7 linked regions of the Macaca fascicularis genome follow. The protein of the gene in region 1 purifies or fractionates together with the protein of each later gene. This does not show direct contact. Links are inferred from orthologs where the notes say so. Each region holds a gene or a part of one and is shown on either strand. Other genes may lie near its edges.

Region 1 (4,061 bases):
GCGGCAGGGCAGACACGTTTGCTTGCACAGCTGTGAGCTGCATGCATAAAAGCAGGGATGGTTTTGGCCTAAGGCAGGGATGGTTTTGGTCTTATCCGTTATGGCATCCCCTTGTGGCACATGTTAGGTGTTCAAAAAATATTGGTGGAATGGATGTGATTACACTTCATGCCACAGTATATAAATATGATTTTAACTGGACAGGGAACTGCCCAAGTTTCCCATATTGATCCTTTTTGCGATCTTAATTATGGTACTCTGAGCTGGGATACTGCCTAAACTGCCTGGGCTACAACAAACTCTAAAGGGCTTTTACTTTCACGTCCACAGTGGTTGAGGGTTCGCGTTCTGTGAATGCTGGAACCTCACGCGAGTAGCTGAGTAGCGAGGATGGTCACTCCCGGATAAATGAATACAGGATTCTCGCGGCTGGGAGCGGTCGCCCGGCGAGGTCGGTCATCCTGCCTGTCCGGTAACACCACGAAACACCTGCCACTGATACCTCCCCACCAGCTCCCGAGGGTTCGCGCCGGCATCCCGAGCCGCACCCCCTGTTCCGCCGCAGCCGGATTCCCTCCAGGGCGGGTTACGCCCCTAGGCGCAAAACAGAACCACTTCGCATCAAGAAGACAAAGTATAACCAGTCACACCAAAAAGAGGCAGCATTATTTAGACAGCCGGCTACTCCCCCAGAGACTCCACCCAGTCCCCTGGGCCCGGCGTTCAGCGCGCCGACGGTGCCCGGCTCCAGGAGCTCCAGCTCCCTCCACGTGTCCTGTCTTCCCAGCAGCCTCCTCTGCCGCCTCTGGAGGAAAATCTCCTGACAACTCGCGGTCTGCGGACTACGACTCCCAGGAGGCGCCGCGCCGCGGCTCTCCCCGCCCCCTTTCCGGGACGCGCAGGCGCCCTGGGCTCCGTCTACCAGCCTGGCTGGCGACGCCTGGATGCGGTTTCTTCCGGGATTTGTAGTTTTTCTGGAGTTACCCGGGCCGTCTGTCAAAGGGACAAAAACTACAAGTCTCGGCTGCCCCAGCGCTGCGAGCTTGGTCACGTGGCGGGGGCCGACCGGGCGTGCGTGCCGCCGTTGATCCGGTGCTGCAGTGAGGAGGTGGTTCTTGCCCGTGTTGTGTGTGTGTGTGAGTGAGAGAGCGAGTGAGTGAGTGAGTGAGTGTGTGTGTGGGGGGACTCGGCTTGTTGTTGTCGGTGACTTCCCCCTCCCCTTCACCCCTTCCCCTCCCCGCCGCCGCTGCAGTGGCCGCTCCCTGGGCTGTAGGAAATGAGCGATAACGATGACATCGAGGTGGAGAGCGACGTGAGTCCTGGGGCTTCTTCCTTCCCGTGCGGGTTGTCAGGCGGGGACAGCGGCCGGGGCTCTCAGCGGGGCGACGGCGGGAGGGGGCCGGGCCGCCGCCGCCTCCTTCCCCTTCCCCTTTCCCTCGGGGCCAGGACTGCCTCCGTCGCGTTCCCGGCTCGCTCCCCTACGGCTCCTGGCCGGAGCGGCCTCCTGGGACTGGAGGTGGGGGGAAGACACGCGGCTTCTGGGACTCCCACCTTCTCCCGTGGGGGAGGGTGCTGCGGCCTCCCGCTCCCACCTTCCCGGGCTCAGGATCCGGGGGACAAGGATGGGGGGCGCCCGGGATCCCATTGTCCGGATCCAGGGGAAGGGGACGGCGTTCAGGACCTGCCCCTTCGGAACGCGATCCTCTCCTCCCGTGACCCGCGGATCCTGGGGGGCGAGGAAGGGCGGAGAGGGGTTGGGGGTGCCTAGATGCCCGAGCTGGGTCTGCAGGGAGGAGACAGTGCTCGGGACCCCTCTGGCCCGGGTCGGATCCCGGAAGGAGGGGCGGCGCTCGGGACCCCTCTATCCCGCTACCGGATCCCGCCGAGGGTGGAAGGGTGGGGGCAAGGGGTGGGGAGGGAGGAAGGGGTGTCGGGCTGACTCCCCACCCTCCGCTTCCTCTGCCGCCGGCATTTTCTTTCTTATTATTGAATGTTAAGTGTAAAAATAACTTCTATATTTTCTATTTTTTTTTCTCTCCTATTCCAGGAAGAGCAACCGAGGTTTCAATCTGCGGTACGTCTCCTACTCTCCATTTCATTTTTATTTCCGTTCAGTTCTATTCCTTTTTGGGGTCAGAGAGAAAAAGAGATCGTACTGTTACTTTTAATATTGTAGTAAATCACTAATGTTAACCACTAAGGTGAGGTGGGGCCTGGTTCTGGAGGGTGGGGGAGTTGCAAATCCTATCATTCTAGATTCTCAGGTGATAAGTTCAGTAAGAGGAGCTGTATGCAAAGAATTGAATTGTTCTGTAGTTTTCAAATAGGGGATCCAGCTGCCGCTATGTAAGTGGAAATGAGAAATGCAGCATTCTGAAGTCAGTGGTAGTATTATTTCAGGGCAAAGTGGTCAGAAGATTTATTTAGGAACAAGTAGATTTTAAACCATATCTGTATAATTATGTGAAGCTGAAGCCACATGCAATAATCGCCTTTAACCAAGTCATGTGACTGCTATAGACCTGTAGAATCTAGCACAATGTGGTATTCTAACACAAAAATTGGAAATGTAGAGGAGCCAAACGTTGCATCATCAAAGTGTCACATAAAGTTATTATGGTCTGATTCTCTGTATTTGAAGAAGAGGTATAAAGAAAATTAAAAAATAGCTGAAGAAAAGTGGCATTGCAGGAAGAGCTTTGCTGAAAGGTGATGGATGAGACCATATAATGTTATCAATAATTTTTTAGGGTTTTGATATTAATGTTCCCAGTAGATGGTTCTGTGGATTTAGATATGCACTAATTTCATGTCTCTGGAGTCTGAGACAGTAATATGGGTTTTTCATGAATAGATTAGAGGGGAAAAAAAGAAAACATATAGAATAAATCAGAATCAGAGGGGAAGAGAAATAAGTATATCAGAATTCTAATATTTGAAATTGGGAACAGTAGGAAGTGTATAGAATGGGGGTAAAAAATTTGAATGCCCATGAGGGCCATAAAGAATAAAGAAAGAAGAGGTGAGGACTTGGGTACTGGAGAGCAATGCCTCTCCTAAAAGGTCAGCCACTACTGAATTCCAGTGGTTTGTTATGTAGGAGTGAAGGGTCAGTATTGCCAGATCTTCCTATTTTTTATTTTATTTTATTTTATTTATTTATTTTTGAGATAGAGTCTCGCTCTGTCACCAGGCTGGAGTGCAATGGTGCTGTCTCGGCTCACTGCAACCTCCGCCTCCTGGGTTCAAGCGATTCTTCTGCCTCAGCCTCCTGAGTAGCTGGGACTACAGACGCACACCCCCACATCCAGCTAATTTTTGTATTTTTAGTAGAGACGGGGTTTCACCTTGTTGGCCAGGCTGGTCTTGATCTCTTGACCTCGTGATCCGCCCACCTCGGCCTCCCAAAGTGCTGGAATTACAGGCGTGAGCCACCGCGCCCAGCTGATCTTCCTATTTTTTAAGAAAGATTAGAAATCCAAAGCGTTATGTTATTTTTCTGATTTTTAAAATGATGTGTGGAACAACTGTTTGGGCTTGTTAGAATTTGCAGGATGTCACTTTGATACCTCTGGTATAAGAACCTAATAATCACAGGATAAAGGCAAGCCATCTCAGTTGTACCTGCTCTTCATTAGAGCAAGCAAAGATTATGCAGGTTGTCTAAGCAAATAGGCATTAAGAAAACTTATTTATTGAGAGCTGGTATTTTCTTAAAATCCGGGGATGTAGTTGTTCCAGAAATCTTAAAAATTATCCCTGGGTAATAGTCATTAAAGATAATTTATTTTGTTTTATTTATCCTTGAAGTATTCTCATATACTTATGCATATATTTGAAAATTGAATTCGTTTTTTTCGTTTACTTTTATCCTTCATGTTTGGGGCCTAGTCTGTTGAAAACTTTTTTTTTCCTGCAAGTCTCCAGTTGTAAAATCTGTGCCAGGGCTTGATCAGAGACAGAGGGTAAGGATCGTTAGGCTTCCTTTGCAGAATTATCCTTTGAATTGGAATTATACTGAATCCTAGTAAGAGAAAGTTTTTTTTTTTTTTTTTTTTTTT
Region 2 (4,252 bases), on another chromosome or scaffold:
CCAGCTACTCGGGAGGCTGAGGCAGGAGAATGGCGTAAACCCGGGAGGCGGAGCTTGCAGTGAGCCGAGATCACGCCACTGCACTCCAGCCTGGATGACAGAGCGAGACTCCGTCTCAAAAAAAAAAAAAAATACAGTGGCAGGGTGTGGTGACTGACGCCTGTAATCTCAGCACTTTGGGAGGCCAAGGCAGGAGGCGGGCAGATCCTGAGGCCAGGAGATAAAGACCAGCCTGGCCAACATGGAGAAACCCCGTCCCAACTAAAAATACAAAAATTAGCCGGTGTGGTGGCGGGTCCCTGTAATCCCAGCTACTTGGGAAGGCTGAGGCAGAAGAATCGCTTGAAATTGGAAGGCAGAGATAGCAGTGAACCAAGATTGCACCACTGCACTCCAGCCTGGGCCAAAGAGTGAAAAATTCCGTGGTGGTGGTGGTAGGGAGAGAGATGCAATTTCTTGACCCAACACACCTGCCAAGTTTCTACCTCAGTAGTGGCATCTAGGCTTGGCATTTTTTTTTTTTTTTTTTTTTTAAGACAGAGTCCAAAGAGTCCAGCGGAACGATATCGGCTCACTACAACCTCCACCTTCCGGGTTCAAGTAATTCTTGTGCCTCAGCCTCCTGTGTAGCTGGAATTACAGGTGCGTACCACTACACCCTGCTACTTTTTTGTATTTTTAGTAGAGACAGGGTTTCGCCATGTTGCCCAGGCTGATCTCGAACTCCTGACCTCAGAAAATCCGCCCGCCTCAGCCTCCCAAAGTGCTAGGACTACAGGCGTGAGCCACCGCGCTGGGCCAAGGCTTGGCATTTTCATGACCAACCAGGTGTCTCTGTGGAACAATCATTTTGAGGGAACAGGAAGGTTGGAGACTTGATACTGAGGAAAGGGGGGGGACCGAGGTTACAGGCACGGTGATGAGGAGGTGACCTCTAGACCAGCTGCTGCCTGGCTCCACCTAGCAGCCACTGCTTTTCATCCAGGTAAGCCTGACCACCTGAAGCCCAGCAACCAAATCTCAGTATGGCCTCCTGGACTGCATGCCACAGGCTGATGCCTGAGTCCCTCAGTCCCTGAGATCCAGCCCAGGAACCTGCCTGCGGCGTGCAGTCAGGAGAGCACACTGTGTGCAAAGACAAGAATTAATCTGCATCTTCAACACCAGCCAGGTGGCCAGCCCAACACAGGTGGGAACCCGGCTCTACCTCTCTGAGATCCTGGACAGGCTCCCGCCTGGGTCCTTCGCTTACCTGTCTTCCCCACCGGCTAGCACAGCACCTGCCCAGGTCACAGATTAAACTAGCATTTGAAGAGATGGGTAAACGGACCTGGGTGAGTGGAAACTTGCAAGCGAGACAGCAGGGAGTGTCGTTAGCGATAAATAACAGGCCGACCTCAGTTTGGTCCCGGAACGTAACCGCTCAAAATGGCTCTCGCAGATCGGCCAGGACAGGTCTGCGGCCCCGCGCGAGGAGGCACGGTGGGCCCCCCGTTTAGGACCGAGGACCCGCACCCCAGGACCCCACCTAGCGAACTGCAGCCTGGCTGCCTCGGGTTGGGGTGAGCGGCGGGAGCGGGCTGGGGGCGTTTCTACGAGGAGGGGAAGCGCACCACGTCCAGGGACTGAGTGGCTTGGTGGGTCTGGGGTCCTTCCTTGAAGGGGCAGAGGAGGAAGAGGGGCGATGTGAGGCCGGTACGCCGCCTGCGGGAAAGAGGCCCCAGTGCCGGCGCTCTGGCCTTGTCAGTGGCCCGCCGGGGAAGCGGAGGTGGGGGCGCGAGTGGGGGCGGACGGGGTGGAGGGGCCTACGCGCGCAGCCGTCCACCGAGGGGCCAGGGCGGGGGTCCCGGGCGGGGCCGCTGCAGCTGGAGCAGCGCCCGGGGCTGGGCCTGGCCCGAGGCCCGGCGGGGAACACGTGCGGCGGCCGGGGGTGGTTTGGCGGCTCCTGGCGCCGCCCCGCTGCCCGCCTTGCGCTCCCCGGGCCGGGCGGCTACCCGCTTACCTGCCGGGCCGCGGCGGCGGGGCCGGGCGCTCGGGGCGTCGCGTCGGCCGCCGCCTGGGCGGGAGCGCGGACTCAGCTCGACGAGGCGGCAGCTCGGGCGGGCGCCAGGCGGCGGGGGCGCAGTGCGCGTGCGCGAGGGGAGGGGGGCGGTGTCCGGGGGGCGGGGCGAGCTCACAAAGCCGGCCTCTCGGAGGAGCGCTACGGGCAGCGGCAGCGGCCAGAATGCCTCGGGCCGGCCCAACGCTTTAAAGGGACAGCACGGGGCGCGTGCTTCCCGCTTAAAAGCTTTAATCTCCGAATTTGGCTGGTGCAGGCCCTCCTAATGTACTTCCTAAAAATTGAAGTATAATGATACATACAGGAAAGTGCTAGTGTGCCCTCGCGTTTCCACAGACAGCACGCCCTGCACACAGACACAAGCGGCCCTCCGGGACCTGCGCAGATGGCGTCGCCCGGCGTTGTCCCCGGAGTCAAGTCGGACCGGGGCACCTCCCCGGGCGACCAGGCCCCTTCTTGATCATCGCTGGTACGGATGAGAGCAGCAGTGGGCATTTGGAAAACACCCGGGACCGCTCCCGGGCGCAGTGCCCCCATGTGGCCTCCCACCCCAGGCGGGTAGGACGACTCCTGCCCATTTGGAAGACCAGGAACCTGCGCGTTCGTTCACAGGGTTCGGAAGCCCGGGCTGCGCCTTCCCGCGGGGCCGGCTGCCGGGCTGCGGGCGCTTCCCGCCTCTGCATGCAGAGCCCGCGGTGCACGAACCTGCTCCCCGCCAGCCCCGCGGACTGGCAGAGCCGCGCTGGAGTCACTCCGCAGTGCGCAAACTCACTTCGCAGCGGGCTCTCTGGGGGCCAACCCTTCCCTCCTGGGCGGGCATTTTCTCCTCCAGGTACAACGGGGTGGTCCCCAGAGGAGGACTCAGGGTCTTAAGGAGAAGCTGAGGCCCGGTGCTCTGGCCTCGACGACTGCACATTCTCGCCTGCTTCACTTCGTAGAGCCTTGGAGGTAGGCACGGCCTCCCTATCCCCTCAGCTAGGCCTGTGGGTAGAATAACGCAGTCCCTTATTCTCCAATTAAAAATGGGAACACAGAATGTGACACAGGAACCCGTGCAAACAAAAGGACAGAGCGTTTGAAATAAAGATGCCAAGGAGGGTGAGGTGAGCGGTTGTCAGAGAGGTGGAACCGGAAGACTGGCAGTTGGTCTGGAGTCCCCTTCCCAGGAAGGACACAGAGAAGGCGAGGTCCCTGTCTGGTCCTTCAGGGCTCCAGGTGGATCTGTGTGCCCAAAAGGCTTGATCCCTTGGGCCAGGTGCCCTGGAGCATGGAGTAGTGACAGTCACAGGTTAGCAAACCCAGTTCGGAGAAAGAAGCTCATCTCTATCTCTGGCCGCCTGGGCCGGAATCCCGAGCCCGTGACGCGCTGCTCTCCCTTCCACCCCGCCTCAGCTCCCAGATCGCCCACTTCTCTCCCTCCTCACCCCAGCCCTACCTCCCACCCGGGTCTTTTTTAAACCTGCAGACAGAGAAACTCCTAAAAATCCAGCTCTGATCTGTCACTCCCCAGTTTAAAACTCAGAACCAGCTTCCCATTGTCCTCAATTCCCAAATTCCCACTGCCCAATTCGGGTAAAGTGCTTACCAGACCCCGCCTCCTCTTCCAAACTACCGCCGCCTCCCAAACTGCAGCCCGCGTTCCAGCCCCAAAACAAAAGTATTTCCAGTCCTTCAGCCCTCCAGGCGAAGCAAGATAAGGGGCTGGACCCCAGAACTATCAGAACTCAAACCAGGTTCCCAGCTTCCACTTCCAGGTGAATTGATCTCACCACCCCATCCCACCCCCAGGAGATAGAGCCTTCTAGTAAAAACGAGATAATCCCACCTGGCGCGGTGGCTCACGCCTGTAATCCCAGTACTTTGGGAGGCTGAGGGGAGTGGATCACCTGAGGTCGGGATCACCTGAGTCTGAGGCTGAGGCAGGTGGATCACCTGAGGGTGAGGCAGGAGAATCGCTTGAACCCAGGAGGCGGAGGTTGCACTGAGCCAAGATCGTGCCACTGCACTCCAGCCTGGGCAACAAAACCAAAACTCCGTCTCAAAAAAAAAAAAAATTGTTCAGAGAAACAGTTCCATTTACTAAGTCACTCCTGGTGGCCAAAGCCTAGTTAATGTTCTGAAAAACAAATATCCAACATGTTTGTTCCTTTTCTGTGATTCTTATTTTCTCTTCTGTTTTCACCTGCGATATTT
Region 3 (3,500 bases), on another chromosome or scaffold:
TGTGGTTGAGGAAGGTTGAGCCCATGGTGTCCTCTGTGGCCCAGGGCACGGCAGGGCCCAAGGTGTTCCAGGCTGCAGGGTCAGGTGCAGCCTCCAGCTCTGCAGGCAGAGGCATGGATCCCTGTTTCTGATCAGCCTCTGTTGACAGAGTGCATGGCCTCTCGTGGGAACTGATGCCAGGGCTTTTTTGTGGCACAGGCCATGGCCTGGTCATTCTGTGGACAATGGGCAGTTCTGAGGTATTTGCAGGAGAAGAATGGATTATATTCTTAAGGCAACATTAACTTTCGACATCGTGGAAGCCAGTGACAAATACGTGCTGACCCCAGAGTCATCCTGTTTCTAAACAGCGTGAGTGTCCAACTGGGATGTTTGTTCCAGGTTAGCAGCTGTCAGGGCCTGTCGGCAGAGGGAGATGCCCACAGCACAGAGGAATCCAGCTTCAGAGCCACTTCCTCCTCTATGTGCCTCTTGTTTGTTTTGTTATTTATTCTACTCCTTCATTCTTCTCTCTTTTTCTCTTTTTTTGTTGAGATGGAGTTTTGCTCTTGTCGCCCAGGCTGGAGTGCAGTGGCATGATCTCGGCTTACCACAACCTCCGCCTCCTGGGTTCAAGCAATTCTCCTGCCTCAGCCTCCTGAGTAGCTGAGATTACAGGTGCCCGCCACCACGCCTGGCTAATTTTTGTATTTTTAGTAGAGACGGGGTTTCACCATGTTGACCAGGCTGGCCTCAAACTCCTGACCTTGTGATCTGCCCGCCTCGACCTCCCAAAGTGCTGGGATTACAGGCGTGAGCCACCATGCCCAGCCCAGCCTTTGTTTTTTTGGGTTTTTTTAAATAAATTTTAAAAAAAGCTCCTCAGACTTGTAAGCCTTTAGTTCCTAGAGTTCTGACAAAGTTGATTTTGGTGGTTTTGCCAGCATTCTAACTGCTTCAGGAGCAGACTTTGGAAATCCTTTGCCGTCTCAGAAGTGCTCCTTCCCGTTTGACAGATGAGGAAACAAACTGCGTGTGTGGCCAGTGGCCTGCCTTGTTCTTCCCGGTGGAAGGCAAGAACTTTCTCACGACCTTTCTCACGTTCTGCCTCACGGCCATTCGGAGCACGTGGGTAGGACTTAGTCTGGAAGAGACCCTGTGCCTCTACCAGATGGTCGAACAGGAACTCCATTAACTAAGGAAACTTTCTGAGTTGGTGATGTCTGCAATAGTCCATGAGTACGGAGTTCAGTCTCGAGTGTGTGTGTGGTTAGACCAGCTCCTTCAGTTTGTGAAATATTGGTCATTAGTATAAGGTCTTGGTTGGAAGTGGTGCTGCTGGTGTCCGGCTGTTGTGTTCTGTTAATTGGCCTGATACCTTCTGTGGTCAGCAAGGGTGGAAGTGTCAGATACTTGCCTGCATTCTTGTCAGGTATCGCATGTCAGGTAACTGCGGCTTTGGCGCAGACCAGCTGCGTTGGTGCTTTAGAGCAGACGGCGGCGAACCCTGGACGGAGGCAGCCATCTTGCGCCTCCTCACGTTCAGTCTCCTAACAATGCGCGTGTTAAATCTGTCACCAGAATTTACTCTCGGTGCTAAGTTAAAGAGGAATTGCAATTTGAGAGTTTTTCTTTTGCCAAAAAAAAAAAATCAGTGAGTGAGATGGGAGTGTCACGGGGTGATGTGTTTCAGGTCCTCCGCGACATCCTCAAGGAGGTTCAGAGTAACATGGTGCCACGCAGCATGCTCAAGGAGTGGGCGCTGCACACCTTCCCCAACGCCACGGACTACTGGACGTTCCGGAAGATGTTCACCATCCAGCTGGCTCTGATAGGCTTCGCGGAATTCGTCCTGCATTTAAATAGACTCAACCCCGAGATGTTACAGATCGCTCAGGTAACCTGGTTTGAACTGCCAGATCCTCTCCTCGTGACATTGCCTTTCTGCTGAAGTTCCTAAAGTGTCTCCTTCTGAAATTTAGGACACTGGCAAACTGAATGTTGCCTACTTTCGGTTTGACATAAACGACGCCACTGGAGACCTAGATGCCAACCGTCCTGTCCCGTTTCGACTCACGCCCAACATTTCTGAGTTTCTGACTACCATCGGTGTCTCCGGCCCGTTGACGGCATCCATGATTGCGGTTGCCCGGTGCTTCGCCCAGCCGAACTTTAAGGTGGGTCTCCGCGTCGTCCTGTCATGGGCACAGGCTGGGGCCACTCAGATGCCCAAGCGCCACGGCCTTGCAGGAGCTGCTGATCTGCCTCACGGGCTCTGCGTTCTCCACAGTGGCCGGCACCCGTGTTACGTCCTTTGCTGTGCGGGCAAGGGATGGTTTTCTCTTTGGTTCACTCTCGTCTGTAGTGCTTGGAATGGGCCTGCTGGACACTGGGCAGACGCTGGAAGGCGTCAAGTGAACAAATAAAAAGATCGGGCCCCAGTCGCAGCATGGCTGCCTTTGCCGTCCGGGTCTGTGCTGCCCAACACGGAGGCTTTCTGGCTGCTGCTCCAAGTGGAGGAAGGGGTTTGTCCCTCAGCGGCTTCCCCAGCCCATCCTGAGAGCACACAGCCTGGCCTGGTGCTGAGGCTTGACGGGCCCTCGGTGGCCCTGGGCGGCCACTGTGGTTGAGTCCCACCCTGTTAGGAAGCTGCCCCTCTGGGCTGTTCTTGGTTAAACACACGTCCTCTCGTTCTCTCCCTCACGCAGGTGGACGGCATTCTGAAAACAGTTCTCCGGGATGAGATCATTGCTTGGCACAAAAAAACGCAGGAGGACACGTCCTCTCCTCTCTCGGCCGCCGGGCAACCGGAGAACATGGACAGCCAGCAACTGGTGTCCCTGGTTCAGAAAGCCGTCACCGCCATCATGACCCGCCTGCACAACCTCGCCCAGTTCGAAGGCGGGGAAAGCAAGGTGAACACCCTGGTGGCCGCAGCGAACAGCCTGGACAATCTGTGCCGCATGGACCCTGCCTGGCACCCCTGGCTGTGACCGCGGCCGCCATGGCCACCCGCAATGTGAAGGGCGCCCCAGGCTCTGAGCCCGCAGCTTATACGACTTGTCCCTGCCTCGTTCCTTTTATTCTCAGAAGCCCCGCGGTTCCACTGGGTTGCAGTTATTTTCCTGGTAGTTGGTGTGTGAGAGGGAGAATTTAGTTTTAGAGGAAGCTGAACTATGACGACGCTGGGCGAGGCGGTTAGAAATGGCAGAGCTGAAACTTCCTGCAAGCTTTTAAAATAATCTTTTAAGAAACCAGGATTCTCCGGTCTGGAATTTCTGGGTGAGCCCTTTTTTTATGGTGTCCTCTGTCTGTGAACGTACAGGCGGGACTGTGCGAACCGCTCCTTACCATCCATTTTTAACTCTTTCGGAAATAACACCTCACAGCAGCTTCCTGCTTTTGTACAGACCTTTGTAACAAGTGTACAGAAAACCCGTTTGGTTTGAGAAACAGATGATGAACCCATCGTGCTGGTTTTTCTCTGAGCACAAACTTTTAGGCTGTACGCAGCCAGCCTT
Region 4 (3,956 bases), on another chromosome or scaffold:
TGTAGAAACCCCCAGTCTAACCGGTTGTTTCCCTCCAACTCTGTACACACCACGGTGTGTTACCTTTTTGTTTCAAACATGTGCTGGCCTCTGTTCTAATCACAGCAACCTGTATCCATTAATCCATTTAATCCTCACAACAACCTTATCAGGTAAGTATTGTCATTATTCGCATTTTCCAAATAAGGAAACTGAGGCACAGGCAGATTAAGTAACTGGCTTAATAAGGTCTTCTGGTTTATAAGTAGGAGCCAGGATTTGAAAACACACCTCTGGCTCCAGCTTAATTAACATGCTCTGTTTACTTATCTGTCCCCACTGAAATTGGAGGTTGAACCTGTGGCATATCCAAATGAGTAAGTATCGCCTGTGCTCACCCCAATATCTGACACTATAGGTCCACGATAACTCATTCATCAAACAGGAAGGAGGGAGGAAGGAAGGAAGGAAGGAAGGCAGGAAGGAAGGAAGGCAGGAAGGAAGGAAAGAAGGCAGGCAGGCAGAAGTAAAACGATACCACAATGGTTTGGTTGCTCACATTTACTAAGCATCAACACTGACCCGCCTGTAAGATGTGCTAACAGAGCTCAGGAATAAATGAAGGCCGGGCGTGGTAGCTCATGCCTATAATCCCAGCACTTGGGAGGCCAAGGTGGGAGGATGGCTTGAGCCCCAGAGTTCAAGACCAGTCGGTGCAATATACTGAGACTCTGCCTCTACTAAAATTAAAATTAAAAATTAGCCGGGCGCAGTGGCGCGCGCCTGTAGTCCCAGCTACTTGGGAGGCTGAGGTGGGAGGATCGCTTGAGCCTAAGAATTCGAGGCTGCAGTGAGCCCTGACCACGCCACTGCACTCCAGCCTGGGCGACAAAAAAAAAAAAAATTAAAATTAAAAAAAGGAATAAATGAACATCTTTGCGGCTGAGAGCTTTCAGTTATCACCGTCGAGAATTCCAGGCGAGCGCTGCGTTTTCCCAGCTGCCTGTTTTCTCTCACCCCCGTTCCCTTCCTCTGGAATCCGGCTCCACCTCTTCCTTTTCCTTTGCCAGCCTCTCCGTGGATTCCGCGGTCCGGGTTTCCCGGGCGCCAGCCGCCGGGAGAGGATCGGTGCGTGGGAGCGCTCCGGCCGCGGCGGGCATGCGCAGAGGGGGGCGGTACACTGCGCATGCGGAAAAATGGCGGGCCGGGCTACTTGAGAGCCGCGGGTCTACCTCCTCCTTTCCCGTCTTCGTCGGGAGTTCCCGGGCACGTGAGGCAGTGCCGCGTTTGCTGGCGGGTGGGACGGCCTAGCCGGGCGGGGCCTTGGAGGACGCCGCGGATCCGTCAGTTTCTGGGCCCTTGGAAATCGGCGCGTGGGGGGCGGTGATCGAGCTGCGCGCGAGAGGGCGGGAGAGCTCGCGGGGTGCGAGGGGAGCGGGACGCCCGGCCGGGCAGCATGAGTCAGCAGCGGCCGGCGAGGAAGTTGCCCAGTCTCCTCCTGGACCCCGCGGAGGAGACGGTTCGCCGTCGGTGCCGAGACCCCATCAACGTGGAGGGACTGCTGGTAAGCTCCGGGACGGGAGGGGGACGGGCGGGGGTCTCCCAAAGCTGGCCCCCTCCTCCCCGCGCCGCCGCCAACCCCGCTGGCCGTCGTCTCGGTCGTCTGCTCCCCCTGGGCCAGGCGCTGCCCATCACGTGCTGCGAAACTGCGCTCTCCCGCCTTCTGCTTTCAGCATCTGTTCACAGACGTGGTGTCAGTCTTCTGGACTTTTACATCGGAACTTCAGGGCACTGTTGGAGAAAATTGCTCAACTTTGCATTGGAAAGGCCATGTTTTTCTCCTTCAGTGGACTCTAGCTGTATCTCTGCAACCTATCATTTGTTCTTCTACCTTCTCTCTCTTCTGCTCTACTGCAGCCGTTTAAAACCTTGTCCACGCTTTATATTTACCACGCCACAGCTCCCATTCATAAAATTATCTCCCCACCTGTTTGACGGAGAAAATGGTTAGGAGATTTGGCTCCCTTTCCCACAAAGACTGATTTCTTCTACTCTTGTTCTGGACCAGATACTGTATTCCCCGGTTCTCAAGGTCCTTAACAAATGCGTTCTTTTCCATTCCTCCCGTATTTTCTTTTTCTTTTTTTGAGATGGAGTTTTTACTCTTGTTCCCCAGGCTGGAGTGCAATGGCACGATCTCAGCTCACTGCAACCGCCGCCTCCCAGGTTCAAGCGATTCTTCTGCTTCAGCCTCCCATGTAGCTGGGATCACAGTCATGCGCCACCACACCCAGCTAATTTTGTATTTATAGTAGAGACGGGATTTCACCGTGTTGGCCAAGCTGGTCTCGAACTCCTGACGACCTCAGGTGATCCACCCGCCTCGGCCTCCCAAAGTGATGGGATTACAAGGCGTGAGCCACCGAGCCCGGCCTCTCCCCATATTTTCAATTTCTCTGCTGCTTTCTTCCTATAACTAGTAGTAATTAAACATTTTCCCAAGTCATTATGCCTGGTCCCCATACCAAATAGTTTGTGATTATTGTCTCATTTAATTTCTCACAGCAGTGTTTTATAATAGTAAAAGACTATTATTCTTGTTTTACGGTTGCCAAAACAGACCTGGAGATGCATGTAATGCCGGCTTGCCTGTGGCTAGATAGTAAGTGGAGAAACTTGGGTTGAACCTCCAAATGTCTAACTCCAGATGATAAATTCTTGACTACTAAAACCACATTCTCAATCCATCCCCATCTTAAAAGATCCCTCCCTTAATTCCATATCCCTTGCCATCTACTGTCTCTCTTCCCCTTCACAGCTAAACTTCTTGAAAAAGTTATTTACACTCACTCTTTCCACTTGATCGTCTCATTATCAGCCAACCCACTGCTGGGGACCCCTATCCTCAGCACACTTGTGAGACCATTCTAACCAGGGTCACCGACAATCTCGTCAATTCCAGCAGCTGTTGTAGTTTTGACACAAAACTACTTGTGTTGGAAACTCTCCCTTGAGTTTCCTTGACATTGATGTTCCATCTGCTTCTCTGGGCTCTCCTTGTCCTCATCCTCTTCCCAGTCCTTCATTTTTTTTTCCCCCGAGACAGGATCTCACTCTGTCACCCTGGCTGGAGTGCAGTGGCACATCCTGGCTCACTGCAGCCTTGACCTCCCAGGCTCAAGTGATTCTTCTGCCTCCACCTCTCTAGTAGCTGGGACCACAGGCACATGCCACAAGGCCTGGCTAATTTTTTTATTTTTAGATATGGAAGTCTTCCTGCGTGGCCCAGGCTGGTCTTGAACTCCTGGGCTCAAGCTGTCCTCTCACCTCAGTTTCCCAAAGTGCTGGGATTACAGGTGTGAGCCACCGTGGCTGGCCACATGTTGATGATATTCAGGGTTCTCTTCTGCTGTCTCTACACATTCTTCTTAGGGGAGTTCATTCTCTCCTCCCATGACTTATGTTACCGTCTACATTTGATCCTTGAACGACTCAGGGTTTGGGGCACCAAATCACATGAAATTCAAAATCTGAATATAACTTTGATTCCCCCAAAACTTTACTGTTTCCTGGAAGCCTTACTGATACTGTAAACAGTTGATTAACACATATTTTGTATTTACATGTATTAGTTAGTGTATTCTTATAATAAAGTAGCTAAAGAAAACGTTATTAAGAAAATCATAAATAAGAGAAAGTCCTACTCATTCAGGGGAATTAGATGATCGTAAAGGTCTTCATCCTTGTCTTCACACTGAGTAGGCTGATGAAGAGGAGTAAGAGGAGGAGTTGGTTTTGCTCTCTAAGTTGTGGCAGGGGGTAAAGAAAATTGGCATCTAAGTGGACCCACACAGTTCAAACCTGTGTTGTTTGAGGATCAGCTGTATATTGGTACCATCTGTATTGGTCGTCTTAATATTTGAGAATTTGATAAAAACTCTAAGCTCACTGTGGAAAAACCACTTAGTTTGCATGCA
Region 5 (3,500 bases), on another chromosome or scaffold:
GTGGCTGTGGATAGCGAACAGTTGGTGGGCGTGGCACCCTCGCCGTGTGGGCGGGGACTGACTGTCTGAATTGTCTTTTTTGACTATAGGTAATTGGTACGCCTCAGAGACCGGCAGCGTCAAACACCCTGGTGGTAGGAAGCCCACACACCCCCAGCACTCACTTTGCCTCTCAGAACCAGCCTTCCGACTCCTCACCTTGGTCTGCCGGGTGAGCACTTCCCTCCGGACCCTTAGAGTTGTAGGATTGCTTGCGGTTCGCACCTCCACGTTCTCCTGGGCCACGTGCGTGACACAGTCGCACGGTGGGGCTCCCATGCGCATTGATGTCAGCCTCCGAATCACACTCACCCATCATCGTGCCCCGCACAGGTGTGCAGTCGAGGCGCACTGCCTCGGTCACGGAGAAGTCGGGCTGGGCACTGCCCACCCTGCTTTGTGTCTGGTGTAGTGGGTGCTCTTGGAAGGGCTGGCAGCTCTTGGCCAAGACGGGGAGAAGCTGGCCTTGTACTTGCCACAGGACCTTGGAGACTTTTCATCGTCTGTGCTGGGAGCACGCGGGATGGATTTCACCCACTGCCCCTGAATGCAGCCTCTACTGCCCCTGGGGTTACGGCCCCCGTGAGTGGTCCCACCAGAGTGGCTCCTTCCACTAAAGCAAGATCTGATGAGCTGTGTCTTTCCTTAAAAAAACACACATGCAAAGCTACAAAAACCTACCTGTGTCGGTGCCCAAAGCTTCACCAGCTGGGACCGCAGGTGACCTTTCCCGCCACGTGGGGACTGACCAGAGTGTAGAGTTGGGCTTTCCCTCTGTGTGAAGAACACTTAGTGGTTTGCACCTGTTGTCAAGCGGCTATCACAGCCCAAGCCGTATGAAATTATAGCCTGCTGAAATTTGTCCTAAAAATTCCCAAATGTACACTGAAATGTCCCATAGTTCCTGATTCTGGTTGCCCTCTTTAGAAAAGTGATGCCTGTGGCTCACACCTGTAATCCCAGCCCTGTGGGAGGCCGAGGCCGGCAGATCATGAGGTCAAGAGATTGAGACCATCCTGGCCAACATGCTGAAACCCTGTCTCTACTAAAAATACAAAAAAATTAGCCAGGTGTGGTGGCGGGCGGGCGCCTGTAATCCCAGCTACTTGGGAGGCTGAGGCAGGAGAATCGCTTGAACCCAGGAGGCGGAGGTTGCAGTGAGCCAAGATCGTGCCACCGCACTCCAGCCCACTACAGAGCGAGACTCCATCTCAAAAAAGAAAAAAAAAAAAAGAAGTGCTTGGTGTACTGATAGGCCTCTCATATGCTGAGTACTGATAGGCCTTCCATATGCTGATTCGGGTCCTGGGGACGCCTCCCGTTTTCCCTGACACTTGGAAGGACAGAGGTGCAGCCTGCCAGGGAGACACTCGCTTTCTGACCTGCAGGAGCACTGGGCCTGGGGGCTGGGGCTAGGTGGTCCTGGCCTGCTCACGTGTTGGATCTGCTGCGCCCGTGGGATGTGGCCCCTTTTTGTGCAGCTCATTAGAGCTCTCAGGTAAAAGCATTCCTCGATTCAGACTGATGCTCAGGAGGGCTGACGGTCGCTTCTTTTTTCCTTTGTATTTTGAAGGAAGCGCAACAGGAAAGGAGAGAAGAATGGCAAGGGCCTGCGGCATTTCTCCATGAAGGTCTGCGAGAAGGTGCAGAGGAAAGGGACCACTTCCTACAACGAAGTGGCGGACGAGCTGGTCGCGGAGTTCAGTGCTGCCGACAACCACATCTTACCAAACGAGTCAGTAAGTGTGTGCTGGGGGCCGAGAGGCCAGGGTAGCGGAACCAAGTGGTGTGGCACGTTTTACTCTTTTAATATTGGGAACAGTTAAAACCATACAGAAAATTCCAAGTACAGCATGACAGAATTTTTCCCAGTCCATTTGCTGGCATGATGCTCTGTCAGCGTCAGTGAGCGAGCACGTGGGCTGGCTCTGCACATCCAGCGGCCCAGAAATGCAGACGTGCCCTCCTCGCCAGCTGGGCTCGACACCCGAGGGCCCCCAGCTCCCCTCCTGGAACACACTGGGATTCGCACAGCCCTGTCTTGCCCTGCATCATCTGTAGGGTGGGAGTGCTCCCTGAGGACGTGTTGGGGTGACAGCTCTGTGAGCGGGGTGCCCCTTCAAGCCGGTGCACGTGGCCTACAGTTTAAGGTGGGATCCACAGGCTTTTTTGGATCATTTGGAAAATCCACTCCCTGTCATCCGCAGGCTTATGACCAGAAGAACATAAGACGGCGCGTCTACGATGCCTTAAACGTGCTGATGGCCATGAACATCATCTCCAAGGAGAAGAAGGAGATCAAGTGGATTGGTCTGCCCACCAACTCGGCTCAGGAATGTCAGAACTTAGAGGTGGCCCTTCAACCTTGATTTCCCTTCAAGTCTGTGTAGATGTGTTTGTTGTCCGTCACTCAGAAGGGTCTGGGCTCCATGCCCTTATGCTCTCTGTGTCCAGACGGCTGGCAGACGGTCATGCAGACGTCTCCCTGCGTTTCTCAGTCTCGGCTGTCAGGGGAGGGAGCATGGTTGGCCCAGACCCACTAGAGTGTGTTAAACTCTAGCACAGGTTAATTGTGAATCCTAGTTTGTGGGATTTTTGTTTTCTTTTTAGATACCATAGTTAAATCCAAGAAATGAGAGGAGAGGGGAAAAGGTATAGTTTAGAAATGGAAGAAAAACTCACCTGTATTTTGTGGCATCTGCTATGTCTAGATTTGTCCATATCCCTTCGATTACATTCAAGGTAAACATAGGTAACACTGAGGATGCGGGTTGTAAAATGCACTGTATGGAACAATCGTGATGATTCTCTACATGGGGGGTTTGTTTTTGAAGGTGGAAAGACAGAGGAGACTTGAAAGAATAAAACAGAAACAGTCTCAACTTCAAGAACTTATTCTACAGGTAAGAGAATACATATCTTTGGAGGCAGGGTAATTTTTATTTTACTAATTTAGTTTTATAACAGCAACATACTGCCTTGGGTTACGCTCCTGTGTGGCAAATTAAATGACTGCTTTAAGATTCTGAGTGTGAGTTCATCTCATAGGTGTTGAATGTGGGCCGTGTTCCCAGAGCGAGGTTGTGTATGTGTGTGCGTATGCATGCATGCGTGCGTGTGTGTGTGCATGTGTGTGTGCACCTGCGTCCATGTGCCTGTGTGTGTGCATGTGTGTGCATGCCTGCGTGTGTGCCTGCGTGTGTGTGCACGCATGTGTGTGCGTGCCTGCGTGTGTGTGCCTGCATCCATGTGCCTGTGTGTGTGCATGTGTATGTGTGTATCCCTCGTCACAGTGTCTAAACAGCCAAAAGACAGATGGAGGGATGACTTCATGCAAAAGCAGCATTTGAAAAATCCCCTCAGAGGTGCTTAACCCAAGGCCCAGGTGCCAGGCGAGGCATGTAAAACTGTGGTGGGCGCAATGCACCTGGGTCTTGACAGTGCTGATCAGGGCCCTGGAG
Region 6 (4,047 bases), on another chromosome or scaffold:
ATCTGTGAAGTGAGAGGATTTAGGGCCCGCCGGCCTCGAAGGACTAACTCTCCGACTGCACCCGGGCTCCCCTAAACACTCGCGCCAGGAAGAAGCAGGCGGGCGGGCGGGCGACGGGGTCCCTCCCTCTGGGAAGCGCGGTTCCAGCCGGACGCAGCGGACCCCGCCCCCGCGTCCCGCCCACTGCCGGTCGCCAGGCGCGGGGAGGGCCGGGCTTCCGCCCTCCACGTTGTTGTTCCCGATTTGGGCCACGCCCCCAGGGCCTTGGCTGCGGGCGCTTCGTGTTCCCTGCCCGGGCCCCGGCCCCAGAGCAAAGGGTGGCCCATGGGGTGGCACAGTCCGTGTCTCCACCCACATCGAATACGCGTGGACAAAGACTGGGGTTTAGGGGAAGGAAAGATAAAGGTTTGGTTTTAAATGGAGGGTGGCGAAAAGGAATGGGGAGGCCAGGGCATGACTGCGGGATTTCCCTTACGGCGTCCCACCCTGGGTTCGCCAAGTGGCCCCATCCGCACCCGCGAATGTGACCTGCAGACACTGGCCCTTTAAACCGAAGGCTGGCGGCGCGGGGTGTCCATGTGGAGCTGCTCCATGCCGTGTTGTCCTGCCCGCCCATTGGCCCGCAGCCCGGTGACGTCGCCTAATAGGATGCGAACGCACTGCGGGGGGAGGAACGGAGACAAAACGCGGAGCCGGACTCTCGCTCCGCTCCTTCCGCTGGTTCTCTGACAGTCTCCAGCCGCCGGCAGCTCCGCCCAGGGGCGGATCCCGGGGGAATTGCGACAGCCGGGCGATTGCGGGATTTAGGTCGCGAGTGGGTGGAGCGTGGAGACCCAGGGTCAGGCCAGTCTCTGCCATTCCCAAGGTTTCCCTGACCCGGAATATCCTGATTGGAGCTCTGTTAAATCTTGAATTGTTCATCCTTCCCTTCCTCCAGCAGGACAGATTTCGTCGTGAACGACCCAAACGCGCCGCCCCGGCCCAACTTGTGGCTTGCAGCAGGGGCGGGGCCAGCTGGAAAGCGGAACCACGGCGCGCACACCCGGCTCTGACCTCTCCCTCCCTGCCCGGGCCACGTGTGCGCGCGCCGGCTCCGGTGGGCGGGGCCAGCAGCGCAGGACCCGCCCCTCCCTTCGCGAGACGCCGCGGCCCTGCGGGCGGGGGCTCCGGTCCGGGCTTTGGCTGTGGCCCCGGTGTAGTAGCGGGGGCGGCGGCCGGGGGCAGCGCGGCTCCTTCCCTTGTTGTGTGTGTCGGTGCCTCCTCGCCATCTTGTTGCAAAGCCCTTTCTTGTCGGCGGGACTCCCGGGGGCCGCGGGGCGGGAGGCATCGGAAGGGAGGTAGAGAGGGAGGGGAAGAAGGGAGGCAGTGCCGCCTTTTTTTTTTTTTTGCACCCATTTTTTTAAATTTGCAATTTTATATTTTGCAAATATTTTGAGAGACATTGATTTTTCTCCCCGTGCTCCCCCGTTCTTCCCTGCGGAGTGCACTGCGCCGCCCAGCCCTGTCGCCCCCCGGAGGTGATCCCTCCCTCCTGCCTGCCCGCCAGCCTGACCTGTGCCCGGCTCGCGGGCCGCAGCCTCGGCCCCGGCGCGCCCCCGGCAGCTCTCGGCGCGATGAGCATAGAGACGCTACTGGAGGCGGCCCGCTTCCTGGAATGGCAAGCGCAGCAACAACAGAGAGCACGTGGTGAGCGGCCGGGCTGGGCCCCTGGGGCACCGGGGAAGGGGAAGCGAGTGACCCCGGTCCCCGAACCCACGCGAAACCGCGGACAGGGCCCCCTCCCGGGCGGCCCGCGGAACCTGGCAGCGCACGGCTCCCCGCGAGAGCCGCCGCCCGGGGAGGGGTGATGTGGGCAGTGAAATTAATTAATGAAGTCATTAACATGCAGCGAGGGACCTGGCTCCTGCGGGCGCCACCCTGGCTGCCTGGCACTCCTGTGCCCCTTCCGTGGGGGGCTGCTTTTGCGTGGGCCAGCGGAGCCCTCGGTGGCACTGAGGATGTGTGAGCCGGGGGGTGGGGTGAGGAATGGTGTTGCGTGGGGGTGGCAGGCTCGCGTGTGCGTGCGTGTGTGCACGGGGGATGTGTGATGTGAGCCTCGGGAAAAGCAGATGAACGGACGTGTACACGGGCGTGTGTATAGCACACGAGTGGGCGTGTGTGTAACGGAGTGGGGGTGGGGACTACTCTACGCCGAGCAGCTCTTCGGCTTCCCTGGCCCCGTGGGGAGGGTGCGGGGGGCGCTCCCGGCAGATCTACGCGCCGCTTGGGGCGGAGGCGGCCTTTGCAGAATGAAATGACATCGCGTGTCTTATGATCCTGGCCAGCCCCGCCTGACCCCGCCTCCCAGAGCTGGGCTGGGCCGCGCGTCCGGGGTTTGGGTGAAAGCCGGGCTACTTGGGCGTTTGCGAAATGGCCCGCGGGTCGCTGGGGGGCAGCCCCCAGGTCCCCCTCGCTGCGCCCCGCTTTAGCCAGTGTGGAATGTGGCGTGTCTGCGCGTTCCAAACCCGCTCTCGCCTGGAATGTTGCGTGTGCCTGCGTTCCGAGCCCGTTGGTTACACCGGGTGGTGACGTGGACGGGCTCCGCCCCCGACCACGTGCACCGGGGACACTCCTGCTGGGGACGGCGCGGCCCGGCCCCTCCTCACCGCCTCGCGCTCGGCTGGGGGCGGGGCTTGGGCGGGGCTGGCAAGGGGCCTTGCGCTGGGTTGGGCCCGGGCGCGGGCCCCGGCCTCTGGGCACCTCCCAGGGAGAGCCTTTGCCCTGCGAGGGAGGAGCCGAGCTCACCTGTCGGCTCTCGCCCCTAACCTCCTGTGTTTGATCCCGAGAGCAAGGGAAACCCTCAGAATCGCAGGGCGACGAGACATTTAGAGCTCACATTTTTCCACTGACCCCCAGAACGTTCCAACCATGCCCCCTGGCATCACCCGGGGCCACGCTGGAATGAGCCAGGTTGAGAAAGAAACTTCGGCGCTTCCTCTAAAGGGAAGAGACTAATGACTCCCATCTTCACGCGCCCTGTTGGTGGTCCCTGGCTTCAGGGTGCTGCAGAGGGGCTGGGGGGAAAGATCTTCCTTTTCCAGGGTGCTGCCAGAGCCTCGGCTCTGGAACGGTGTGTGTGCAGGACCGGGGGACTCCTGTGCCCTCCCCGCCCCCCAGAATCCCCCGGCAGGGTTGGTTGTGGTGGAGAGAGTGCTTCGCCCTCCTTTCCTTTCTCTCTGCCTATTGTTGCTTCAATGATGAGTCATGCAGGAGGTAGTAGTGTGTTGTGTGCGCGCGCGCCGCCGTGTGCTGCCGCCGCGGCGGGCAGTGAGGGGGGAGCGGGGAGCGGCAGCGGGCAAGGGGCGGGGGAGCTGCGGGGCCGCCGGCCTAGTCGGGGCGACCGGCCTCTCAAGGTCAGGAGTCACTGGAAATATGTGAGACCCAGATGCCTGGGTTTTGCAGAAGTGATGGGCGGGGACGTCACCAACACTCCCCGCCTGTTGCCTTGGGGGTTCAGAGCAGGGTCTGGCAGTGGAGAGTGCCCGTGGTGACCAAGAATGTCCTACGTTTGGGCACAGGGGTCAGGGGAAGACCGTGCACAAGGTTCGGAGAGACTAAGTCACCTGCTGCCGCCACCAACACATTGCAGTTCGAGTACCCACTGTGTTTAGGCCGAGTTCAGCGGCCTGGTCACCGCTGCTTGGTGTTGGTCAGAGGTCTTTGGAGATGAGTGGGTGCGGAAAGCCGGATCTACTCAAAAACTCATGTACAGGTGGCCAGAACCGGTCCCAGCAGTTTCACCTCCAGAATTCATTTTCTTCTCCCTCTTGACGTTCTGTCCTCTGAGCTGGGGCAGGACGAACGGGAGGGAAGGGCATGGTAGGTGAACCTGCTGACCAGAACGCTTTCCCAGGACCTAGGACCAGCTCTGGACAGGGATCCTCTTGTCCATTCTCCCTTTCAACCGCAAGCATGGGTTTCTGACCTAGACCAGCCAGTGTGCTCACATGAGGACCCTGCAGATGTGTGTGCCCGTCAGAGAGAGAAGAAAGGGCAGAGCTATCCTGG
Region 7 (4,191 bases), on another chromosome or scaffold:
TGAGCCGAGATCGTGCCACTGCACTCCAGCCTGGGCAACAGAGCGAGACTCCGTCTCAAAAAAGAAAGAAAGAAAGAAAGAGAGAGAGAGAGGGAGGGAGGGAGGGAGGGAGGGAGGGAGGGAGGAAGGAAAGAAAGGGTGACCACTTGAAGGGCTGCTGAAATGGGCCGGTGGCTTGTATTAGAGTGGTAGTGGAGGAAATACAGGATATATTTTGGAGGTAGAAAAACCAACATGTTGGCAGCATGGATACAGGGGTTTAGGGTGGAAGGGGTTGAAGGAAAGAAAGACATCTAGGAAGAGTTTCACATCTCCATGGTGGACCTCAAATTTAGGCATATGTTTTGTATGTATTCAGCCTCCACATATTGCATTTAGAGTCTCAATTAATTCATTGGGACACAGCATAGCATAGGGAAGGAATTTGTACTAAATTTGGAATCCCTATCCTGTGTGATCTTGGAAAGTGCCTAAACCTGAAGAGCCACCACTTCCTCTTCTTTCAAATGGTGATAGGATGTGTAAGGGTTTGAAAAGATGTTTGCAAAGCTCCACAACAGCACCTAGAACTCAGGGTGTCTAAAGAGGTTGTGGGAAACCCTAACGGGATGAGGCAGAGAGCCTCAGATTCAAGGTTTTTACCCAGGAGGGAGTGGTGCATGAGGAAGGTTGCAAGATTTTGAGGAGGCTGGACACTTACAGCATTGAGAAAAAGAATATTCCAGTTTCAGCTGACGCGGTGGCTCACGCCTGTAATCCCAGCACTTTGGGAGGCTGAGGCGGGTGGATCATGAGGTCAGGAGTTCAAGACCAGCCTGGCCAAGATGGTGAAACCCCATCTCTACTAAGAAATACAAAACTTAGCCGGGCTTGGTGGCGGGCGCCTGTAATCCCAGCTACTTGGGAGGCTGAGGCGCGAGAATCGCTTGAACCCGGAAGGTGGAGGTTGCAGTGAACCAAGATCGCGCCACTGCACTCCAGCCTGGGCGACAGGGCAAGACTTCGTCTCAAGAAAACACACACACACACATACACACACAGTATTCCAGTTTCTTTCTTTTTTTTTCTTCTTTTCAATCTGGAGTATTTCAGTTTCTGCCTGAGTTGGAAATGAGTCCCTCTGCTATGCATCCCAGCAAAAGGACACCTTAAATACCTAACTCGGGAGAGTACGAGGTTATTCCTGGAGTCTGGAACAGTGACTATCATAGGTGCTCAGTAACCGTTTAGTGAATAACATCCCAATGAAGTCAAGAGGTTGGCGTAACTGGAACAGTCGGCGTGAGGCGCACCAGGTTTCCAGCGTTCCTGGTTTCCACGTCACTATGGTAACGTCCCACCCTGCACACCCAAGGCGAACTACAATTACCACAAGCGCCCGCGATTTCCCCGCCCAAAGGGAGAGAATGGCGCGAGCAAGCACGGAACCGGCTTTTCCTCCTTCCTGCAGCGTGATTGGCCCGCGGCTCAGGGAGGCGACCAATGAGTGCTCTCGTGGAGAGCGACGAGGCCAATATGGCTTCCTGCACCTGGTGACGCTTGGCGAAACTGAGGTCTCATGGAGAAGCCCCCGAGTATTGAGGTGAGAAGGAGAGGACTTAGCGTGACTTGGAAGGGGAACCCCGAGATCCTCGCTCCGTGGACCCTTCTTTAGGGCTTTTAGCGACGTCTGGAGGATGGAAGGTGGAAGGATGGATAAACTGAGATAGTTAAACTGAGCCAGGGCCAGAGGCGACTGGCGTTACTTTTTGCTCCTCTCCTGCTGGGGCCAATGTTCGGCGAGTTCAGGGAGGAACAGCCGTCCCTGGCCTGGGGGAAGGGGAACTAGGTTTAGGATGTGAGAGCTCCTGAATCGATTCTTTATCCTCATTGTCTCGTGGCCGTGTTCTTTAGGGCTTGTGAGGCCTGTTACATGAGGTGGGAAGTGAAGGGCGATTAACGTTGGGTGAACATCACTCCTTGTCTGTAACGTTCATGTGCATTATCTTCCAGTACCCTCACAGGAATTATTATTCTTTCGTCTTTGTCGTTCAAGCCACTGAGGCTTAGAGGTGGTGCGACGCCCCAGGAAGTTACCCCGGCTGGAAAGTGAAGGAGGTTGGCTCTAAGTCTGTCCGCCTCCGAAACTATCTGTTATGCTTTTCACATTGTACTGCAACCTGGAACCCACTCATCCCTTTTGTTTTTTCTTTCAGACGGAGTCTTGCTCTGTTGCCCAGGCTAGAGTGCAGTGGCCCGATCGCGGCTCACTGCAACCTCCGTCTCCGGGTTCAAGCAATTCTCCTGTCTCCGCCTCCCATGTAGCTGGGATTACAGGCATGCGCAACCACACCCGGCTAATTTTTATATTTTTAGTAGAGACGAGGTTTCACCATGTTGGTCAGACTGGTTTCGAACTCCTGACCTCAGGTGATCTGACTGCTTCGCCTCGACCTCCCAAAGTGCTGGGATTACAGGCGTGAGCCACTGCACCCCGCCTCATCCTTTAATCATTTGGTTTCTGGGCACTTTATATTTGTTTTAAGAGACGGGGTGTTCCTCTGTTGCCCTGGCTGGAGTGCAGTGGTTACTCACAGGCGTGATGACAACGCACTGCAGCCTCGAACTCTTGGGCGCAAGCAATCCTCACACCTCAACCTCCTAAGTAGCTGGGACTATAGGTGGTCTCTGTCACCCTGCCTGACAAGGGTACCTATATTTGAACTGTTTCCTTTCTAGCATATTTGCATGTATAGTTGCAAATATAAAGTGGAATAGCTCAAACATTCTGCAAGGGTAAAGGAAAATAATAATGTGGAGAATAATAGCATGTCACACTTTTAGAGCTGTTACTGACTGCTGGAAATAGAACTAGGCTTTACATATCTTAATCTTCATAAGAATTATCTAAAGAAAGCTTATTATCTCTCTTGTAATGATGAAGAACTGAGGGTAGCAAGATAAAATACGCACAAAATCACACAGTTAATAAATGTTAGAGCCAGGATTCAAACCTAGGCAAATCATAGTCTATGCTTTCAACCAGTAAAAGTTGGCAACGTTTATTGAGCACTTACTATATGCAAGTCACTATTCTGAGTGCTTTGCCTGTATTGTCTCTTACTTCTCCCCCAAATCCTTTTTTTTTTTTTTTTTTTTGAGACAGAGTTGCTCTCTATCACCCAGGCTGGAGTGCAGTGGTGCAGTCATAGCTCACTGCAGCCTTGACCTCCCTGGCTCAAGAGATCCTCCCACTTCAGCCTCCCTAACCACCACGCCCAGCTAATTTTTTCCAGTTTTTGTAGAGACAGGGTTTCCCTATGTTGCCCAGTCTGGTCTTGAACTCCAGGCTCAAGCAATCCTCCTGCCTCGGCCTCCCAAAGTGCTGCGATTACAGGCATGAGCCACTGTGGCCAGCCCCCAAACCCTGTGAAATAGGTGGTACTATCCTCATTGTACAGATGTGGAAACTGAAACACTGCAAAATTGACTTGCTGCAGGTCACACAGCAAGTAAGCACTAGAGATGGTATTTGAGCTCTTCACACCTTTTTTTTTTTTTCCCTTTGAGACAGCGTCTCCCTCTGTCATCTAGGCTGGAGTGCAATGATGTGACCATGATTCAGTACAGCCTTGACCTCCCAGGCTCAAGCTATCTTCCCACCTCAGCCTTCTGAGTAGCTAGAACTACAGGTGCATACCACCACCACCTGGCTTTTTTTTTTTCTTTTGAGACAGTATCTCACTCTCTTGCCCAGGCTGGATAGCAGTGGCATGGTTATGGCTCACTACCGCCTTCACCTCCCAGGCTCAAGCAATCCTTCCACCTCAGCTCCAAGGAGCTGGGAATACAGGCACATGCCACCACACCTGGCTAATTAATTTATTTTTATTTTTTTGAGACGGAGTCTGGCTGTCGCCCAGGATGGAGTGCAGTGGCACCATCTCGGCTCACTGCAAGCTCCGTCTCCCAGGTTCACGCCATTTTCCTGCCTCAGCCTCCTGAGTAGCTGGGACTACAGGCTCCCACCACCACGCCTGGTTAATTTTTTGTATTTTTTTTTTTTTTTTTTTTGAGACGGAGTCTCGCTGTGTTGCCCAGGCTGGAGTGCAGTGGCCGGATCTCAGCTCACTGCAAGCTCCGCCTCCCGGGTTTTTACGCCATTCTCCTGCCTCAGCCTCCCGAGTAGCCGGGACTACAGGCGCCCGCCAC

What was found.
Region 2: the proteins of MAX (region 1) and WDR5 purify together in Homo sapiens (affinity purification with mass spectrometry; 4 studies listed by BioGRID and IntAct, with this or other methods). This does not show direct contact. The link is inferred for Macaca fascicularis from reciprocal best matches to the Homo sapiens genes MAX and WDR5.
Region 3: the proteins of MAX (region 1) and TRRAP purify together in Homo sapiens (affinity purification with mass spectrometry; 6 studies listed by BioGRID and IntAct, with this or other methods). This does not show direct contact. The link is inferred for Macaca fascicularis from reciprocal best matches to the Homo sapiens genes MAX and TRRAP.
Region 4: the proteins of MAX (region 1) and E2F6 purify together in Homo sapiens (affinity purification with mass spectrometry; 5 studies listed by BioGRID and IntAct, with this or other methods). This does not show direct contact. The link is inferred for Macaca fascicularis from reciprocal best matches to the Homo sapiens genes MAX and E2F6.
Region 5: the proteins of MAX (region 1) and TFDP1 purify together in Homo sapiens (affinity purification with mass spectrometry; 5 studies listed by BioGRID and IntAct, with this or other methods). This does not show direct contact. The link is inferred for Macaca fascicularis from reciprocal best matches to the Homo sapiens genes MAX and TFDP1.
Region 6: the proteins of MAX (region 1) and MNT purify together in Homo sapiens (affinity purification with mass spectrometry; 7 studies listed by BioGRID and IntAct, with this or other methods). This does not show direct contact. The link is inferred for Macaca fascicularis from reciprocal best matches to the Homo sapiens genes MAX and MNT.
Region 7: the proteins of MAX (region 1) and L3MBTL2 purify together in Homo sapiens (affinity purification with mass spectrometry; 6 studies listed by BioGRID and IntAct, with this or other methods). This does not show direct contact. The link is inferred for Macaca fascicularis from reciprocal best matches to the Homo sapiens genes MAX and L3MBTL2.

Annotation. Positions count from the first base shown.
Region 1 is NC_088381.1:132,922,108-132,926,168, reverse strand, and holds the start of MAX (protein max), read left to right. Parts: upstream 1-1,261; 5' UTR 1,262-1,276; coding exon 1,277-1,516; intron 1,517-1,937; exon of another isoform or gene 1,938-1,990; coding exon of another isoform or gene 1,991-2,047; coding exon 2,048-2,074; intron 2,075-4,061. UniProt on the Homo sapiens protein: Transcription regulator. Forms a sequence-specific DNA-binding protein complex with MYC or MAD which recognizes the core sequence 5'-CAC[GA]TG-3'. The MYC:MAX complex is a transcriptional activator, whereas the MAD:MAX complex is a repressor.
Region 2 is NC_088389.1:5,237,859-5,242,110, forward strand, and holds the start of WDR5 (WD repeat-containing protein 5), read right to left. Parts: upstream 2,801-4,252; 5' UTR 2,597-2,800; coding exon 2,362-2,596; intron 2,122-2,361; exon of another isoform or gene 2,003-2,121; intron 1,916-2,002; exon of another isoform or gene 1,253-1,915; intron 1-1,252.
Region 3 is NC_088377.1:47,584,194-47,587,693, forward strand, and holds part of TRRAP (transformation/transcription domain-associated protein), read left to right. Parts: intron 1-1,672; coding exon 1,673-1,876; intron 1,877-1,961; coding exon 1,962-2,156; intron 2,157-2,687; coding exon 2,688-2,972; 3' UTR 2,973-3,500. UniProt on the Homo sapiens protein: Adapter protein, which is found in various multiprotein chromatin complexes with histone acetyltransferase activity (HAT), which gives a specific tag for epigenetic transcription activation.
Region 4 is NC_088387.1:110,643,199-110,647,154, forward strand, and holds the start of E2F6 (transcription factor E2F6), read left to right. Parts: upstream 1-1,156; 5' UTR 1,157-1,435; coding exon 1,436-1,543; intron 1,544-3,956. UniProt on the Homo sapiens protein: Inhibitor of E2F-dependent transcription. Binds DNA cooperatively with DP proteins through the E2 recognition site, 5'-TTTC[CG]CGC-3'. Has a preference for the 5'-TTTCCCGC-3' E2F recognition site.
Region 5 is NC_088391.1:104,025,194-104,028,693, forward strand, and holds part of TFDP1 (transcription factor Dp-1), read left to right. Parts: intron 1-89; coding exon 90-211; intron 212-1,612; coding exon 1,613-1,778; intron 1,779-2,246; coding exon 2,247-2,390; intron 2,391-2,873; coding exon 2,874-2,942; intron 2,943-3,500. UniProt on the Homo sapiens protein: Can stimulate E2F-dependent transcription.
Region 6 is NC_088390.1:2,519,650-2,523,696, reverse strand, and holds the start of MNT (max-binding protein MNT), read left to right. Parts: upstream 1-1,247; 5' UTR 1,248-1,613; coding exon 1,614-1,686; intron 1,687-4,047. UniProt on the Homo sapiens protein: Binds DNA as a heterodimer with MAX and represses transcription. Binds to the canonical E box sequence 5'-CACGTG-3' and, with higher affinity, to 5'-CACGCG-3'.
Region 7 is NC_088384.1:10,407,013-10,411,203, reverse strand, and holds the start of L3MBTL2 (lethal(3)malignant brain tumor-like protein 2), read left to right. Parts: upstream 1-1,391; 5' UTR 1,392-1,406; coding exon 1,407-1,582; intron 1,583-4,191. UniProt on the Homo sapiens protein: Putative Polycomb group (PcG) protein. PcG proteins maintain the transcriptionally repressive state of genes, probably via a modification of chromatin, rendering it heritably changed in its expressibility.